4 linked regions of the Mus musculus genome follow. The protein of the gene in region 1 interacts with the protein of each later gene in a biochemical or structural test. Links are inferred from orthologs where the notes say so. Each region holds a gene or a part of one and is shown in the gene's direction. Other genes may lie near its edges.

The links. The genes of interacting proteins can lie anywhere in the genome.
Region 2: the proteins of Crebbp (region 1) and Myod1 form a complex in vitro, tested with the Homo sapiens proteins (4 studies listed by BioGRID, with this or other methods). The link is inferred for Mus musculus from reciprocal best matches to the Homo sapiens genes CREBBP and MYOD1.
Region 3: the proteins of Crebbp (region 1) and Foxo4 form a complex in vitro, tested with the Homo sapiens proteins (2 studies listed by BioGRID). The link is inferred for Mus musculus from reciprocal best matches to the Homo sapiens genes CREBBP and FOXO4.
Region 4: the proteins of Crebbp (region 1) and Hoxb6 form a complex in vitro, tested with the Homo sapiens proteins (2 studies listed by BioGRID). The link is inferred for Mus musculus from reciprocal best matches to the Homo sapiens genes CREBBP and HOXB6.

What each region holds. Positions count from the first base shown.
Region 1 is NC_000082.6:4,210,575-4,214,816, reverse strand, and holds the start of Crebbp (histone lysine acetyltransferase CREBBP), read left to right. Parts: upstream 1-1,412; 5' UTR 1,413-1,593; coding exon 1,594-1,678; intron 1,679-4,242. UniProt on the Homo sapiens protein: Acetylates histones, giving a specific tag for transcriptional activation. Mediates acetylation of histone H3 at 'Lys-18' and 'Lys-27' (H3K18ac and H3K27ac, respectively).
Region 2 is NC_000073.6:46,375,133-46,379,321, forward strand, and holds Myod1 (myoblast determination protein 1), read left to right. Parts: upstream 1-1,341; 5' UTR 1,342-1,540; coding exon 1,541-2,167; intron 2,168-2,607; coding exon 2,608-2,686; intron 2,687-3,011; coding exon 3,012-3,262; 3' UTR 3,263-3,960; downstream 3,961-4,189. UniProt on the Homo sapiens protein: Acts as a transcriptional activator that promotes transcription of muscle-specific target genes and plays a role in muscle differentiation. Together with MYF5 and MYOG, co-occupies muscle-specific gene promoter core region during myogenesis.
Region 3 is NC_000086.7:101,253,312-101,257,375, forward strand, and holds the start of Foxo4 (forkhead box protein O4), read left to right. Parts: upstream 1-1,216; 5' UTR 1,217-1,509; coding exon 1,510-1,962; intron 1,963-2,801; coding exon of another isoform or gene 2,802-2,951; exon of another isoform or gene 2,952-4,064. UniProt on the Homo sapiens protein: Transcription factor involved in the regulation of the insulin signaling pathway. Binds to insulin-response elements (IREs) and can activate transcription of IGFBP1.
Region 4 is NC_000077.6:96,297,769-96,301,921, forward strand, and holds Hoxb6 (homeobox protein Hox-B6), read left to right. Parts: upstream 1-1,305; 5' UTR 1,306-1,330; coding exon of another isoform or gene 1,331-1,408; coding exon 1,409-1,823; intron 1,824-2,900; coding exon 2,901-3,160; 3' UTR 3,161-3,801; downstream 3,802-4,153. UniProt on the Homo sapiens protein: Sequence-specific transcription factor which is part of a developmental regulatory system that provides cells with specific positional identities on the anterior-posterior axis.

The sequences.
Region 1 (4,242 bases):
GAGTACCCTTAGGAGATCGAAGCCCTTGGTCTTGGTACCTGGGCCCATCTCAGATCCAGGAGGTAGAGCTGACAGCCTCTCCCTTCAGGTGACAGCGTTGGACATTGGACCTGGCCCTATCGTTTTTGGGCTTGGGAGTGGGCGCTCAAGAGCCTTGCGGTGCCCTTGCAAACTTGGGAAGCACAAGGAAGGGGTGGACTCTCGGCCTGTCATTTTCTCCCTCAGTGATCTTAGAGAAAGTTGCTTTGCCCCTTCCTGCCTCAGTTTCCCCATCTGCACACAGACCCGAGGACCCTCTGTAACCTGCAGGCGCCACTTCGCCATTACTAGCATAGGGCGCGGGGAAGAGGCGCAGGTTGCGGTGGCGTCTTCTTAGTCCGATGTCACCCTGGAGGCTCGCAAGCAAGGAGCTGCGAAGAGCCAGAGCTGCCGGGGCGGGGCGGGACCGGACGGGCTGGGCCCGGATCAGCGCTGACTCCGAGCCTGGCGGGGGGGGGGGTCTAGGCTCGAGCCCAGGGCGCCCTCCCCGCGCGTGCCGCGTTACTGACAGCGTCAGAACAAAAGTGGCCGTCTGCTCTGCGCACTTGGCGTCCCGCAGGCCGGGCCTAGCACCGCAGCCCGTCGCCTCACGCATCGCCGCCGTGCCTTCGACCCTTCCACCCGAGCGCGCTCGGCTCTTTCCGCCGCGGCCGGCGCAGGTGGAGGGGCGGGGCGGGGGCCGTGCGTGGTGACGCCGCGGGGGGGGTGACGTACAAGCGTGCCCCGCCCCCTCCCCCTCCCCGTTCAGGCTCTGGAAAGAGAAGAAAAAAAACTTTCTTTTTTTTTTTAATTGAGGAATCAACAGCCGCCATCTTGTCGCGGATCCGACCGGGGCTTCGAGCGCGATCTACTCGGCCCCGCCGGTCCCGGGCCCCACAACCGCCCGCGCACCCCGCTCCGCCTGGCCGGCCCGCTCCGCCCGGCCCTCGGCGCCCGCCCCGGCGGCCCCGCTCGCCTCTCGTCTCGGCCTCCCGGAGCCCGGCGGCGGCGGCGGCGGCGGCGGCGGCACGGGGTGGGGGGGCCGCGGCGCGGCGGCGGCCCCGCTCGGCGCATTGTTTTTCCTCACGGCGGCGGCGGGCCGCGGGCGGGCGGCGGAGCCCAAAGCCCCCCGGTCGTCCGGCCGCGGGCGAATTCATTAAGTGGGGCGCGCGGGGGGGGGGGGTGGCGGCGAGGCGGCGGCGGTACCACCATGTTCCCGGGCGCCGCCTGAGCCGCGGGGCCGGGCGCCGTCGCTGCCAGCCGGGCCCGCGGAGGCGGCCGGGCCGCTTGGGTGCCCGGGCCGCGGAGTGTCGCGCTCGGGAGGCGGGCAGGGGATGAGGGGGCCGCGGCCGGCGGCGGCGGCGGCCGGGGGCGGGCGGTGAGCGCTGCGGGGCGCTGTTGCTGAGGCTGAGATTTGGCCGCCGCCTCCCCCACCCGGCCTGCGCCCTCCGCGGCCCGGCCCGCGCTCCTGCGCTCGCTCCTCGCTGGCTCGCCTGCTCGCAGCCGCCGGCCCGACCCCCGTCCGGGCCGCGTCGCGCCGCCCGCGCTCAGGGCTGTTTCCGCGAGCAGGTGAAGATGGCCGAGAACTTGCTGGACGGACCGCCCAACCCCAAACGAGCCAAACTCAGCTCGCCCGGCTTCTCCGCGAATGACAACACAGGTGAGGCTGGGTCTAGGCTCGCTGTCAGAGTTCGGGGCAGGGAGGGGGTTGAGGGTCGCAGTGGCCAGAGACTCTGTCCCGGGCCTTGGGATGCGCTTCCCTGGTCGGGAGGAAAAGTGAAGCGGGGGCGCGGTCTAGTGTCCGCACGCGTGGCCGGCCGGGATGACAGCGGAGGGGACCTTGGAGGTTTGGAGTAAGAGAATGCGACCAGAGGCAATGAGGGCTTTCAGGATCGGACCCCCCACTCTAGGCGGTGCAGTCGCGGACACAGCTGCTGCCTTCTTAGTTGCGACGAGTTGCGACGGAGAAGTTTCTTGGAATGTGTTGCTTGGGAAAACGCTTAGTGGTTATTTAGAAAGTCTTGATTTTTTTTTTTTTTTGATCACCTAGTATTTTTTTTTCTCCAAAACCCCAAACCTCATGTGCGAGTTGTCATCAAAGTTGCTGTGGTGTCTTTCATTTACATACGTAACCTTAAAAAGAAGCTAGCAGGCTTTTAAAAGTCCATTTGGGCTCCAGTCTGCCTTTGAGGTTGGAATGGTTTTACACTGGAGATGAAAAATTAAAAAATTAAGGACTTTGAATCTTTCAGGGAAAGAGAAAAGCAAGATAATCTTAAATCTTTTCCCCAACTCACAAAATAGCTTCCGTGCAAACTTTCTTAGGTGATCGGATCGGGTACCCAAGACTTCCCTGTTCATTCAGTAATTCAGAGTACTTCTGGACAGCTCTGATAACCTTGCCAATTATTCGTATTTCCCCTTTTAAGCTCTCCTTCGAAATATAAACTCGTATGCTGCTGTGAACAATGCCGGCTCAGCGCAGCTAGCACTTTTCCAGTACGTACTTGTAGCGGCATCTGAAAATCAGTTTCTGATGAATGGGTCCAAATCAAATTACATTGCTGCCTGCAGATTGGCGCTAGATACAGATGTTCAAGTTGTGGAACTCTGTGACTTTATACAAGTGTATTTAAAAATATTTCTGCTTTTGAAACAAAACTTAGATTTCACGGCTTCAGTTTGAAGTGCTCCTGAAATCCAGTCATGAAAGGAGAATGTTAATGTAGAAATGAGAGGGGAGTATTCTCCCTCCATCATTTTTCAGGAGATTTTTGTTGACTTAAAATTTGTTGAGTGGTAGAAAGGAGTAAATAAATAATTCACAGGTAGGTAGGGAAAAGTCACTTTTCTTTTTAAATGACAAGTTGTTTGATGTTTATTTTCATAAAAATCTTATTGATGAAAAATGTTGAAACAGTGGTTTAAGCACACTTGTGCAAAGTAGAGCTAGCTCCCTTGCTTTAGTAATGTTGCTGTGCTCGAGCCAGAAGACTGTAATCATGTGAGATGTAGATCATACCAGGCAGGTGTTGTCCTCAAGTTTATCCTCTGACACTGCTAACTGGAAGACTTCAGCTTTGCTGTTACTGAGTGAACTTGAAGATTTTTCTTAGAAGTGGGGCAAATTAATAAGACCACAAAAAGACCTGTAGTATCTTATATATCCAGAGGTTTACAAGATGGAACCCAAAAGAAGATGGCTTTTCCCCTCCCTCCTCCTCCTTTTCTTCTTCTTCTTCCTCCTTTTCTCCCTCCTCCTCCTCTTCTTCCTCCTCCTCTTCTTTCCTCTTCCTCTTCCTCCTCCTCCTTTTTCCTTTTTTTTTTTTTTTTTTTGTGTGTGTGTGTAGCTTCTCTGGATTGTCAGATATTTACTTACTGTGTTGCTGACCAGAGCAGACTTATCCAAAAGAATCTTCTGCACGTGAGCACTTTGTCCCTTTCTCTTTCCACTTTTTGCCCAGGAGACGCAGAAGAGTACTTTCACATTTACAGATATGTGAAACAAGGGGTAGTAGTTTCTAATGATTCTGATTTAGATGATCAAAGAATAAGACGGCATTCATATTGAAAGGGTGTAAGGGTCCACTCAGAAGAAGGAGCCATTTTTGAATACATTAAACAAGATGAAACCTTGTTAAGAGTAACTATTAGTCTACGATCCAGTAACAAGATAGACAGATCTTAAAAATTAAACAAATAAATGGCTGAAGTATTTATGTTAAGTATATTTAAAGCAGTGAAGGCTGGGATAGAGACAGAAGGAAAAATTGAACTTTGTTTTCTTTTTTTTGGTTCCCCCCCCCCCCCCCCCCCACACACACACACACAAGGTTTCTTTGTCCCTGGCTGTCCTGGAACTCACTCTGTAGACCAGGCTGGCCTCAAACTCAGAAATCCCCCTGCCTCTGCCTCCTAGGTACTGGATTAAAGTCGTGTGCACCACTGCCCAGCCTGAACTTTGTTTTCTTGAGGGGTCTTATCTCAGGCCTCCAAGAGAACATTGGGCTGGGGTAGGTGAGGTGTGTGTTCTGAGCACAAGATGAAATTTGAGGGAGGGGATGCAAGGAGAGTGAACAGAGAGCCCTAGACAGTGAGAAACAGTTGCTACTTGAACTAGTGATACAAGCCACATCTTTGGGGACTGAGTTGTGAATCCATCAAGTGCATTTTAGCTGTGTTTCTAGGGATAGCAGTGGGTGGAGAAGAGAGTGAGAGGGAAGC
Region 2 (4,189 bases), on another chromosome or scaffold:
AGGCTTCTAGCCAGAGCCCCCCAAAAGCATGAACATCCCAGGGTTGGGGTGTGTTGGGATGTGTAGGAGAGCCAGAGATCCCACAAGGTGGCTCCTTCCTTTTGATCTTACCTCCCCAGTTAGCCTGCTGGAAGAGACCCAGCTGAAGTCTCCAGAAGAACAGAGCCAGAGCCCCCAGAGCCCTCTGCCAGATCTCAGTGCTGCAGGCAAAGCCAGAGAAGGTTGCTGGTTATGCTATGCAAGCGGGCAGGCAGGTGCTGGAAACAGAAGCAAGTCTCCCACCTCCACTGACATTTCCACATCCATCCCTGGTTTGGATTCTCACCCATCACCACAGTTACCCCCTGGACATTGTCATTGTTCCTGGATATGAAGTGGATACAGACTTGGGAAGAGGTCATCTCAACAAAGTTATGCCGACTCTACCAACTCTACAGTAGGTGAGGTTGTCAGGCCAGGTTCCAGCCATCACGATCCTTAAGAAAGGCATTTCCCAGGGTTCACTCAGAGCAAGATGGCACAAACCCATAGCAAACAGGTTTTCTTCTTCTCGGTAGAAACAGATCAACCTAGACCCCCATGGGTCTCTAGACACTCACAGAAAGTAAGTTGGAGGGAGCCTCCCTCTCTCTCCCTCCCTCTTTTCCTTGGACTGTCCACCCGGAGTTTGAGCAGAATGGCTTGAAGTTTTAATGATGATTCCCACTACGCATGCAAGGACAGCGCTGGGGTTCTAAGCTTCCCGTGGAAGAACAGATATTCTCTGAGCCATTCCCAGATGGAGAATGACCAAATAGCACTGCCACCGATTCATTTGTGCCAGGCTTGCTCACCTAGACCTTCTGAGTCTCACTGTCTCTTGCCCACTTTGTCCTTGGCTCAACTTCTCTGGGTGTGTCATCATTTCTCCACTCTTCTCTAGAACTTTCATTGTCCCGTAGCCTTGAGTCTCTCTCCAAACCTCCTGCAATCTGATTTCTAACTCCTATGCTTTGCCTGGTCTCCAGAGTGGAGTCCGAGGTCAGCTCCGAAGTGAGCACTGAGGTCAGTACAGGCTGGAGGAGTAGACACTGGAGAGGCTTGGGCAGGCTGCACCAGATAGCCAAGTGCTACCGCGTATGGCTGCCAGTCTCTCTGCCCTCCTTCCTAGCTAGGCAGCTGCCCCAGCACAGAGTCGCGGGAGGGGGCACTCCCTGGCCCCAGTGGCTACCCTGGGGACCCCAAGCTCCGCCCTACTACACTCCTATTGGCTTGAGGCGCCCCCGCCCCCAGCCTCCCTTTCCAGCTCCCGGGCTTTTAGGCTACCCTGGATAAATAGCCCAGGGCGCCTGGCGCGAAGCTAGGGGCCAGGACGCCCCAGGACACGACTGCTTTCTTCACCACTCCTCTGACAGGACAGGACAGGGAGGAGGGGTAGAGGACAGCCGGTGTGCATTCCAACCCACAGAACCTTTGTCATTGTACTGTTGGGGTTCCGGAGTGGCAGAAAGTTAAGACGACTCTCACGGCTTGGGTTGAGGCTGGACCCAGGAACTGGGATATGGAGCTTCTATCGCCGCCACTCCGGGACATAGACTTGACAGGCCCCGACGGCTCTCTCTGCTCCTTTGAGACAGCAGACGACTTCTATGATGACCCGTGTTTCGACTCACCAGACCTGCGCTTTTTTGAGGACCTGGACCCGCGCCTGGTGCACATGGGAGCCCTCCTGAAACCGGAGGAGCACGCACACTTCCCTACTGCGGTGCACCCAGGCCCAGGCGCTCGTGAGGATGAGCATGTGCGCGCGCCCAGCGGGCACCACCAGGCGGGTCGCTGCTTGCTGTGGGCCTGCAAGGCGTGCAAGCGCAAGACCACCAACGCTGATCGCCGCAAGGCCGCCACCATGCGCGAGCGCCGCCGCCTGAGCAAAGTGAATGAGGCCTTCGAGACGCTCAAGCGCTGCACGTCCAGCAACCCGAACCAGCGGCTACCCAAGGTGGAGATCCTGCGCAACGCCATCCGCTACATCGAAGGTCTGCAGGCTCTGCTGCGCGACCAGGACGCCGCGCCCCCTGGCGCCGCTGCCTTCTACGCACCTGGACCGCTGCCCCCAGGCCGTGGCAGCGAGCACTACAGTGGCGACTCAGATGCATCCAGCCCGCGCTCCAACTGCTCTGATGGCATGGTAAGGCGGGGGGCTCAGGAGGATGAGCAATGGAGGCGGCGCCTGGGGTATCTGCAACAGGTTTCCGAGGCCCTTGGGGTGGGGGTGTCCCTTATACCTAGATGCTCCTGGCATCTGACACTGGAGTCGCTTTGGAGACCCAGGGCATCTATGATTCTGCCGATTGGGGGTGGAACACTGCTGCGCAGACCCCGGGATATGCTTTTCCTTCTCATTATTACCCTAATGCAGATTATTGTTCCTGAGTGACTGTCCACTCTCAGTTTGGCCCCGCATGCGACAGCTTCCAGTGTGTGGCTGGCTCCTACCACCTGGGGCTGACCCAGTCCTGGAACCAGCAGCTGAGACTAAGGGAGTGAGGGAGGGGTGATGACAAGGAGTGTTGCTTGAGACCCACTCGGGCCCTGTAGACCTAACTCTGTTATCCTTGCTATTCGCAGATGGATTACAGCGGCCCCCCAAGCGGCCCCCGGCGGCAGAATGGCTACGACACCGCCTACTACAGTGAGGCGGCGCGCGGTGCGTATTCTCAGCTGTTCCCAGCTAGCAGGCCTTTATCGGCCTTCTGTATCCCCCTTGAAACTTTCCTCGCTCCCTAGGCTTAGTATCCTCTTCCTGCCTCCACCACATACATACCCGTACCTTGGGATGGCGGGGGGGGGGGAGGCTGGGGGGGGAGCATTGGGGGAGGGGACAAAGAACTATGATGCACACCTTCCTCTCCTTTCTCCTTCCAGTCTAGCAAGTCCTCAGTTTCCCTTTTGCTACAAAGCTCCGTGCCTATGGGCAGGAGACTTGAGAAGGGCCGCAAGTTTGGATTACTAACCTTCCACTCCCCTCACAGAGTCCAGGCCAGGGAAGAGTGCGGCTGTGTCGAGCCTCGACTGCCTGTCCAGCATAGTGGAGCGCATCTCCACAGACAGCCCCGCTGCGCCTGCGCTGCTTTTGGCAGATGCACCACCAGAGTCGCCTCCGGGTCCGCCAGAGGGGGCATCCCTAAGCGACACAGAACAGGGAACCCAGACCCCGTCTCCCGACGCCGCCCCTCAGTGTCCTGCAGGCTCAAACCCCAATGCGATTTATCAGGTGCTTTGAGAGATCGACTGCAGCAGCAGAGGGCGCACCACCGTAGGCACTCCTGGGGATGGTGTCCCTGGTTCTTCACGCCCAAAAGATGAAGCTTAAATGACACTCTTCCCAACTGTCCTTTCGAAGCCGTTCTTCCAGAGGGAAGGGAAGAGCAGAAGTCTGTCCTAGATCCAGCCCCAAAGAAAGGACATAGTCCTTTTTGTTGTTGTTGTTGTAGTCCTTCAGTTGTTTGTTTGTTTTTTCATGCGGCTCACAGCGAAGGCCACTTGCACTCTGGCTGCACCTCACTGGGCCAGAGCTGATCCTTGAGTGGCCAGGCGCTCTTCCTTTCCTCATAGCACAGGGGTGAGCCTTGCACACCTAAGCCCTGCCCTCCACATCCTTTTGTTTGTCACTTTCTGGAGCCCTCCTGGCACCCACTTTTCCCCACAGCTTGCGGAGGCCACTCAGGTCTCAGGTGTAACAGGTGTAACCATACCCCACTCTCCCCCTTCCCGCGGTTCAGGACCACTTATTTTTTTATATAAGACTTTTGTAATCTATTCGTGTAAATAAGAGTTGCTTGGCCAGAGCGGGAGCCCCTTGGGCTATATTTATCTCCCAGGCATGCTGTGTAGTGCAACAAAAACTTTGTATGTTTATTCCTCAAGCGGGCGAGCCTCGAGGCTCGCTCGCTCAGGTGTTGGAAATAAAGACGCTAATTTATACAAAGTGGCTCTGGCTTTTCCTAAGGGGATCAGAAAGAAACTCTACGAACTGGGCGGGCTGTCTCGCAGCGACCCCTGTAGGTGGCAGAAGGGTAGCACGGAGGCTGGGTAGTGCTGGGTAATGAAGAAGGGCTGGCAGACCTCCAGCTGTAGGGAATTCCCCAGGCCTTGCCTGCCGCACCCAAGAAAACCAGTGGCTCCGGTGGAAAGATGCACGTAGGTTGAT
Region 3 (4,064 bases), on another chromosome or scaffold:
ATTTAGAATTTGGAAGTAGCAAGTTACAGAAGTGGAAAGGTGACCATCAGTGTGGCTGAGAAGGTTAGGTAGACCCAGAACAGCCTCTAACCAAATTCAGAGCTTAAGAGTAGGGATCGGGGATTTAGCTCAGTGGTATAGCACTTGCCTAACAAGGGCTAAGGCCCTGGAGTCGGTCCTCAGCTCCAGAAAAAAGACAAAATAACAGAGGTTAAAGGTAGCTAGAGGGTGGAGGTATAGGTGCAGAAAGAGATTAAAAAAAAAAAAAGTTCAGTTGGAGACATGTTGAATGAGAAGCCATTGAAGATCAGAACAAGGAGAAGATCAGTATTTCAGAGGCCTGCATAGCTGACAGAGGAAACTAGCAAGACTGTCTGTGAAATGTACATAGAAAATGGAGAGAGTGCACCATAACCAATGAACACTGTTTGTTGTTACACAAGCTTCCCTCTCAACTCCCCAAGTGAGTGTGTCTTATTTTCTAATCAGATCCCTACTTGTTGATACTCTTTCTGCTTCTTATAAGGGCAATACATTTTCACTTTGCTTTCTTAGTGAAGGATGGGAAAATCTAGCGTCTTTCAAAACGATCTTTTGGGCGACCCCGAAACTCGAGGAAGTGGGTGAAAAGGGAAGGAATGAGGAAAAATATTTTTAAGAAAAGAAAAAGAGTCCGGGACGACCTCTAATCATTAAAGTTCCACCTCCCCACATCCTGCCACGCGCCGCTCTCCTGCGGCCGATATCGGACTCCTGATCGCAAGGTAGGACGGGAGATGTAGTCTTCGAGAACGACCAGGGTGGCACGATTCGAGAACTCAGTTTCCCAAGTGGCTCCTGAGGCGCGTGCGCAGATGGCTGCCCCAGCGAGTGGTAAACAGAGACGTCTGGCGGGGGCTGCTGCTTGGAGCAAAACAAAAGGGAAACCCGGGGGGCGGGGGGTGGGGGGGTCCGATAGGGGATTCAGTTCTGGAGTTGGGGAGGCTGGGGCCGCAAGAACCTTGACCCTCTCAAGAGTGACCTGGAGGGAAGAGGCGAGGGGAGGGAGAGCCAGGGGAGGGACAAGTGACGCCCGGGAGCGGGGCGTGGGGGAGGGCAGCGATCCGGGTGGAGGAAATTTGGGAGGAGTGTCCGGGGGGCAGCAACTTGAAAGGGGGAGGGAACTTCGCTGAGGAGACGTTCGGTGATGGGAGCGCAATGTATGAGGGGATACGGTGCCTCAGGTTTAAAAGAGCAGGAAGCTGAGTGAGAGGGTGCAGAAAGTGCCTTCGCTAGGCGGAGGTTACAGGTGGTGCCTCAGAGCGCTACTCTGAGGCTGCAGCCCGGACTCCGGAGGGGATCGGAGAACGGAGTGAAAGGGACAGTTTAGGAGCTAGAGTCCGGAGACGAGGGAGAAGTTCGTGACTTTCTGAGAACTGGAAAGAATGTGTTTCCCCCCTTGGGGGAGGCATGGTGAGGGACTGTGGCAGGCTCCACTGATCGCTGAGCTGCAGAGGTTCGACCCCACGTATGGATCCAGAGAATAAGAAGTCAGCCACAGGGGCTGCCGCGATCCTAGACCTCGATCCCGACTTCGAACCCCAGAGCCGTCCGCGATCCTGCACCTGGCCCCTTCCTCGACCAGACCTCGCTACGGAGCCACACGAACCGTCCGAGGTGGAGCCCAGTCTGGGACAGAAGGTACCCACGGAGGGACACTCCGAACCGATCCTGTTGCCCTCTCGGCTCCCAGAGCCGGCAGGGGGCCCCCAGCCGGGAATCCTGGGGGCTGTAACAGGTCCTCGGAAGGGAGGCTCCCGCCGGAATGCCTGGGGAAATCAGTCATATGCAGAACTCATCAGCCAGGCCATTGAAAGCGCCCCGGAGAAGCGGCTGACACTCGCCCAGATCTACGAATGGATGGTCCGCACGGTGCCCTACTTCAAGGACAAGGGTGACAGCAACAGCTCGGCAGGATGGAAGGTAAGTATGACTCCCTTACCTTCACGCCATCCACCCTTGGACCCCTCTAGTTACTCTCACTCCGGGGCCCCCCATTACCGCCTTTCCACCCCTTTGGAAAGCCCAAAGATCCACCTTTAATCTTCAGTTAGACAGGCATTTACTTAGTACATAGTATATACCACACTCTGAGCAGCTTGAAGCAGGAGGATCGGAGATGAATAAGACACTGTCCCTGCTCTGAGGAAAATCGAATTCTCTACTCGCTACTCAGCACTTTGGCTTGAGCTGCTCCAAACATTTATTCCCACAGAGAAGTCTTTATCCTATGTACAGCAGGAACTGTGTGGATTCTCCACCGGCACCTAGCCTTCCCTCCTCCCTCCCCTCCCACCCAACACCTTTTGGCCCATTCCTGCGGGATTACTCGGATTCCCTGCTCGCCTCCCAATACCTCAGTGAACAGAACTGTTCTACGATTGCTCTGCCCAAGAGGGAGTGGGCGGTGAAGGGGGGCAAAGTGGTTGGTATCCATGGGGAAAGGTAGCGACCTTGTGCACTAAGGAAAGAGGCCCGCAAGCTGCTATCTGCCTCAGTTTACCTTCTCCTGACGAAAATCCTTCCTTGTAAGGCGCTCTCCAAACTCACGGGGAAAGTCTTTGTTCAGGAATACTACTCATGGAGAAAGGAGGTATCATATAGCTTTGACTTTCGAGTCCAAGTTGGTCCTTGGTCTTTCTTGAAGAAACTGGGAAGATCTCAAACGGTAACTCTGAAAACTTCGCCAGAGAAATACGGACTCTAATCACAAAACTAAGGAGGGTTCAGCCCGTATCCATGCCTTGTATCTCTCTCTGTAGGTGGTTTGTGTTAGTGTACCAAGTACAGCGGACAGAATGGACCTTCACGTAGACGTTAGAGTGAGGGAGCAGATCTACAATGTGCGGAGGGGCCAGACTGAACAGAAGATGGGACAGCTGACCGAGACCCTTGGCGCTATTTCTGGGTAGACTGCCATGCCACAATCTGAAGCTCACAAAGAGCTTCCCTCCTTGGACGCAGCCTGCACAGCTGTTTTTCTTTTCCCTTAAGTTGATTTTCCAGGGTAGAATGACCACGAGTGCTTGTTACACTGGGAGTAGTCCCTTCTTATGACTTACACGTAACACGGCCTTTAGAGTTTATGAAGTCTTTTTTTTTTTCCTCCCCTTTTGATTCTAGGAACTGAACCCAGGGCCGCATGGTTGCCACTAAGCTAAATCCATAACCGGTGAAATCTAAGAATTTTTTTTTCATTTAGTTAGTCCGCCTTGGCAGTTCGGAGTCCACATTTTGCATCTGAGGAAATGAAGGCCCAGGGAGGTTAGGTAATGAGTCTACCCTCAAGATGAGGACTTGAGGACAAGCTTTGCTACAGACCCTGCTTCTCTGAGGAAAGCGTGGTTTGCTTTCATTGCCAAACCTAGTCAAAAGGGGGCCACAAGCTCCCAGAGTGTCCCCCCTCCCCACGCAGGAAGCTTAATACTTCCCTGGTGTTGTGCCAGGGTCACTCCCACCCCACCAGGGGGCGGCACTCACTTGAACAAGAAAGCTTAAGTTAGGTGACTTTGTGAACAGTTTATCTGCACACATACATGTGCGCGCGCGCGCGCGCGCACCTGCGCACCTGGAAACTGACCTCTGCCACTTGCTTGTACCGAGGCCTCCTGGAGAGGGGTCATAGGTGGAAGTGTAGCTCAGTAGTGAATTCCTTTCACAAAATATGTCTCTGAGCTTGACCCGCTGCAGCCGCCGTGTGCATGTGCTCACACTCGCGAGTGCGCGTGTTCGCACATGCGCACACAGAGACCCCCACCCCACCTCACCCCTACACACACACACCACATTTACTTCACTAGACCCAGAATTAGAGAAAAAGAAGGGAGGAAATCACAGAGCTAGAAGACACAACTGTGCTCCGTTACTAAGAGCCAGGGGTGATTGGATCTGCACAGAGTCAAGGAAGTCTTGCTAAAGGAACTGGCACAAGAGGCTGCTCAAGCCATGCTCTTCAAGAAAAGGGTCACCTTTTTTTTTTTTTTAACCAGTGAGCTAGAAGTGGTTTCCCGCTGTCTCAAGCCTGT
Region 4 (4,153 bases), on another chromosome or scaffold:
CAAGCATGCCAGTTTGATGGTTGGAAGGTGGTTACTAAGTCCCTAGGAGGACCTAGCAGCCTTCTCTCCTTATAAAATCAAATCCAAACCAAGTCTTGGGATGCGAATTTCAAAGGGAACCACCAGTTTATAAAGAGAGTAGGAAAAAGAGGAGACTCTCGGTCTCCAATACTGAAGACTCAACATTTCTAAGACAATTCCCCCCAGTATCTAGATTTACAGGGAACATCTTTGGTTCTAAAAATCTGTAGCCAGGGATTCTTGCTACATCATTTGGCCTGAGAGATAAGGATAGATGAGGAGAGACCAAGCAAGGGTTGCAGGAAGAATAGAGATGAAAACAAGTAAAGTTACCTAGGCTGGGGTTTCCCCTTCATCACCAAGTTTAAGGACTACTAGTTTCTTTCTCCAGGGCCCAGTCTCAGTCAAGACTGCAGCCAGGACGGCTGAGCTGTGCTGGGCATACGGATGGTCGGCTTGCCAAATAGCAATAGCAAATAGCTTCGGGGAGCAGCCAGAGGGAGAAACTGGGCTCACACACCCCTGACATTTCCTTCTTTTGGGTCTTCTAGGCAGAAGGAACTGGCTTGCCCTCCTCTAAGCTGGGGAATTGGGTTGAAGTCGGGATACAATAAAACCTAAACTTAAAAGGGGGAAACAGGCCTGATAAACAATAAACGATTTTCCAAACCTTCAAAGGAGGGTGTTTCTTCTTTTCTTGTTTCTAAAATGAAGCAAATAAGCGGACAAGTCCGTTCTCGTTCCACCCCCCACCACCACCACACCAGTACAAAACCCTAGAAACAGACCTTCCCCCTTTATTCTCTCTCAACGAGATTCGAGGATATTTACCCAGCCCTCCCTTGAGGGAACGGGCCCATGCAACGCAGGGGTTAACTTTTCTGAAAACACAATTAACTTTTCCCTATTCCTGCGTGGGGTGGGGTGGGGGGGGAGGTTGTATTTATTTCATCACTGGGGAATGGGATGATCTTCATCTAACTGCTTCCTCCTCCCTCAAAAGCACAGACGTCTCTTTCGCAGATCATACGTAGGTGGATCAGGGCGCGTTGTGGAGAGAGAGAGAGAGAGAGAGAGAGAGAGAGAGAGAGAGAGAGAGAGAGAGAGAGAGAGGAAGGAGGGGGAAAAGGTTGATAGGTTTGTGCGCGGGTCCCTCGTGCAGGCTGCGCTCCTCCTGGGTGCTATTTGACAATTCCTGCCTCTGCCATTGGTCAGTGTTGGATCAGATGGTTGTATTTCCTTCTGGCCCTCACTGGCACCTCGCCATCCCCCCTCAGCTAAAACCCAATCTCGGCTATACTACTAATAGGCGCGGCGCTCGGACTATAAAACACAACAAATCATAAACCCGGCGGAGCAGCAGCGGCCTCGCGCGCCTCCCCTCCCGATGAGTTCCTATTTCGTGAACTCCACCTTCCCCGTCACTCTGGCCAGCGGGCAGGAGTCCTTCCTGGGCCAGCTGCCGCTCTACTCGTCTGGCTATGCGGACCCGCTGCGGCACTACCCCGCGCCTTATGGGCCGGGACCCGGCCAGGACAAGGGCTTTGCGGCGTCCTCCTATTACCCACCAGCCGGCGGCGGCTACGGCCGGGCGGCGCCCTGTGATTATGGGCCGGCGCCTGCCTTCTACCGGGAGAAGGACGCGGCCTGCGCTCTCTCCGGCGCCGACGAGCCGCCCCCGTTCCACCCCGAGCCGCGCAAGTCCGACTGCGCACAGGACAAGAGCGTGTTCGGAGAGACCGAGGAGCAGAAGTGCTCCACGCCCGTCTACCCGTGGATGCAGCGCATGAATTCGTGCAACAGTGAGTGAGACTTCCCGCTGTCCCGTGTCTGTGTGTGTGTGTGTGTGGGGGGGGGTCGGCAAGCAGAAAGACTGAAAGTGTCAGCATCCCCCAACCCCAATTCTCCCATTGGGAACTAGGTGGGCATCTCAGCAGATAGAGCAAGATTGCCCCCCCCCCCGACCTCCAGATCAGTCCTCTTGCCCGCAGAAGTTGCAAAGTTTGCAAAGTCCCAGCTGCACAGTAAGGCAGGGGGAATAAGTGGGCTCTCCCTACTTAAGTCAGGCTAGGATTGTTGATCCGGAAGAGGTTAGGGGACTCAGTCTCTGGTCCTGTATTCCTTTATGTTCTCCCTAGCTCTTGTCCGGATCTGAGGGGTGGGGGGTGCCCCGCACCCAAAGACCACTCCATTAAAAACAAGAGTGCGTCATGAAAGGGGAGGGGTGGCATGACGCCGGCAAGGGCGAGTTTACTTGGGTCCTGGATTGTGTTTCCCTGGGGCTGGGGGAGGAGAACTGGGGAAGGGGGACCAGGGAGCTGTGAGACACTACCATAGGGTCGTATAGTCTGAGGAAGGAAGAAGAGAGGACAGGCGGAGGGAGTGAGAAGAACAAACTGGCTCCTGGGTCTCAGGTTGGATTATTTGTGGGCTTCAAGTCCCAATTGATGTCCATTAGCAGGACACGAAAGTGAGGGGCTGTTAATGCGGACTATGAATCGATCCACGTCATTAGGGATTAAGGGCCAGAATCTATCATCGAGTAGGGTAGGGAGGGCTGGATGGATGGAAAGGAAGGGAAAGAAAAGATACAGCTCGTAGGAGGCACACCTGGCCAGCCCCTCCCCCAAGCTCAGGTGAGAGTCCAAGTGCCCCTCCTCTCCCCCCACTGAAAGTCTAGGCAGAAAGAAAGCACAGGCCTCGGAGTCCAGGAGGGAATCTGGAGGGGGCGCTGGAGGAGTAGGAAACGGGGACCAGGGAATGGGAGGGGGAAAGACTACTCCCGACAGGCTAGCTTTACGTTTGAGGGCCGAGTGGGGGAGGGGCTATGGGCTTGGTGTGATGACCCCAGGCCTCAGTTTCTCCTCTCTGCGTAACAGGTTCCTCTTTTGGGCCCAGCGGTCGGCGAGGCCGCCAGACCTACACACGCTACCAGACCCTGGAGCTGGAGAAGGAATTTCACTATAATCGCTACCTGACCCGCCGGCGGCGCATAGAGATCGCGCACGCCCTGTGCCTGACCGAGCGGCAGATCAAGATTTGGTTTCAGAACCGGCGCATGAAGTGGAAAAAGGAGAGCAAACTGCTCAGTGCGTCTCAGCTCAGTGCGGAGGAGGAGGAGGAAAAGCCAGCCGAGTGAAGGTGCTGCAAAGGGAGGGGGGACGCGAAGGGAGAGGTCTGTGGGGGAACCTAGGGCACCCGAAAGCCCCAGAAGGCTCTGCGGTCGGGGGAGTCTGGGGACTTGCTGTCCAGAGCACGACGGGCAGGGCCCAGTGCTTGCCTGGATGCCCCCTTCTGCAGAGCTCTTCCTGGGCGCTTGGCGGATGCCCACCCAGCACCCCCAGCGCCTCCTCCCTCCCCCGAAGAACCCACCTTGGCCTCATCAGGCTCTCTGGTGAGAACTGAGAATCGGACTCACTTGATGTCTCCTGGAAGCAGAGCAGAATGCTCATGTCCTTGTCGAGTCTCATTTCGTCCATGTCCCCCGTGCACGGTTCAATGGTAGATTCGCTGTCCCCTCAGCAGGGACCTGAAAGACTCCCTGACCCCAGACTTGTCTCTCCTACCCCCTCCCCAAAGCCACTGGAAGGAGCACATACTACCTAGAAGGAAGAAGAGGAGCCTCAGAAGAAAACAAAGTTCTATTTTATTAATTTTCTATGTGTTGTGTTTGTAGTCTTGTCTTAGCTCCGGACGTGAAATACTTCGGTAATAATATTAATATTATTAATAATGATTATGATGATGATGATAATAATAATAAAGATGTGAAAACTCGCAGCTCAGTCACATCCAATCTTTCCCTGTCATCTCCCCCATAGCCCCCAGCCACCCTGTCACCCCTGAGCCTGAACAGCAAAGGCAAGAGCCATGGTCTGCCCCAGGGCCTTCCCAGCCTCCAGCCTCAATTCGGAAGTTACAGTTGAGATAAAAGCAAGGAGCCAAAAGCAGAGGCCAGGGATCGGTCCTCCCAGGCCCCAGCGTTGGTTGTGTCTCTCTGATGCTAAATTCACAATTGCCTCTCCCATTCAGACACGAGATGGAGAAAGCCTTTTTCCCTCTTGTTCTCTAAGCTTGCCTCGGTTGTGAGACTCTGGAGGGATGCCACTTGAGGCCTCCTTGCCCAGAGCTC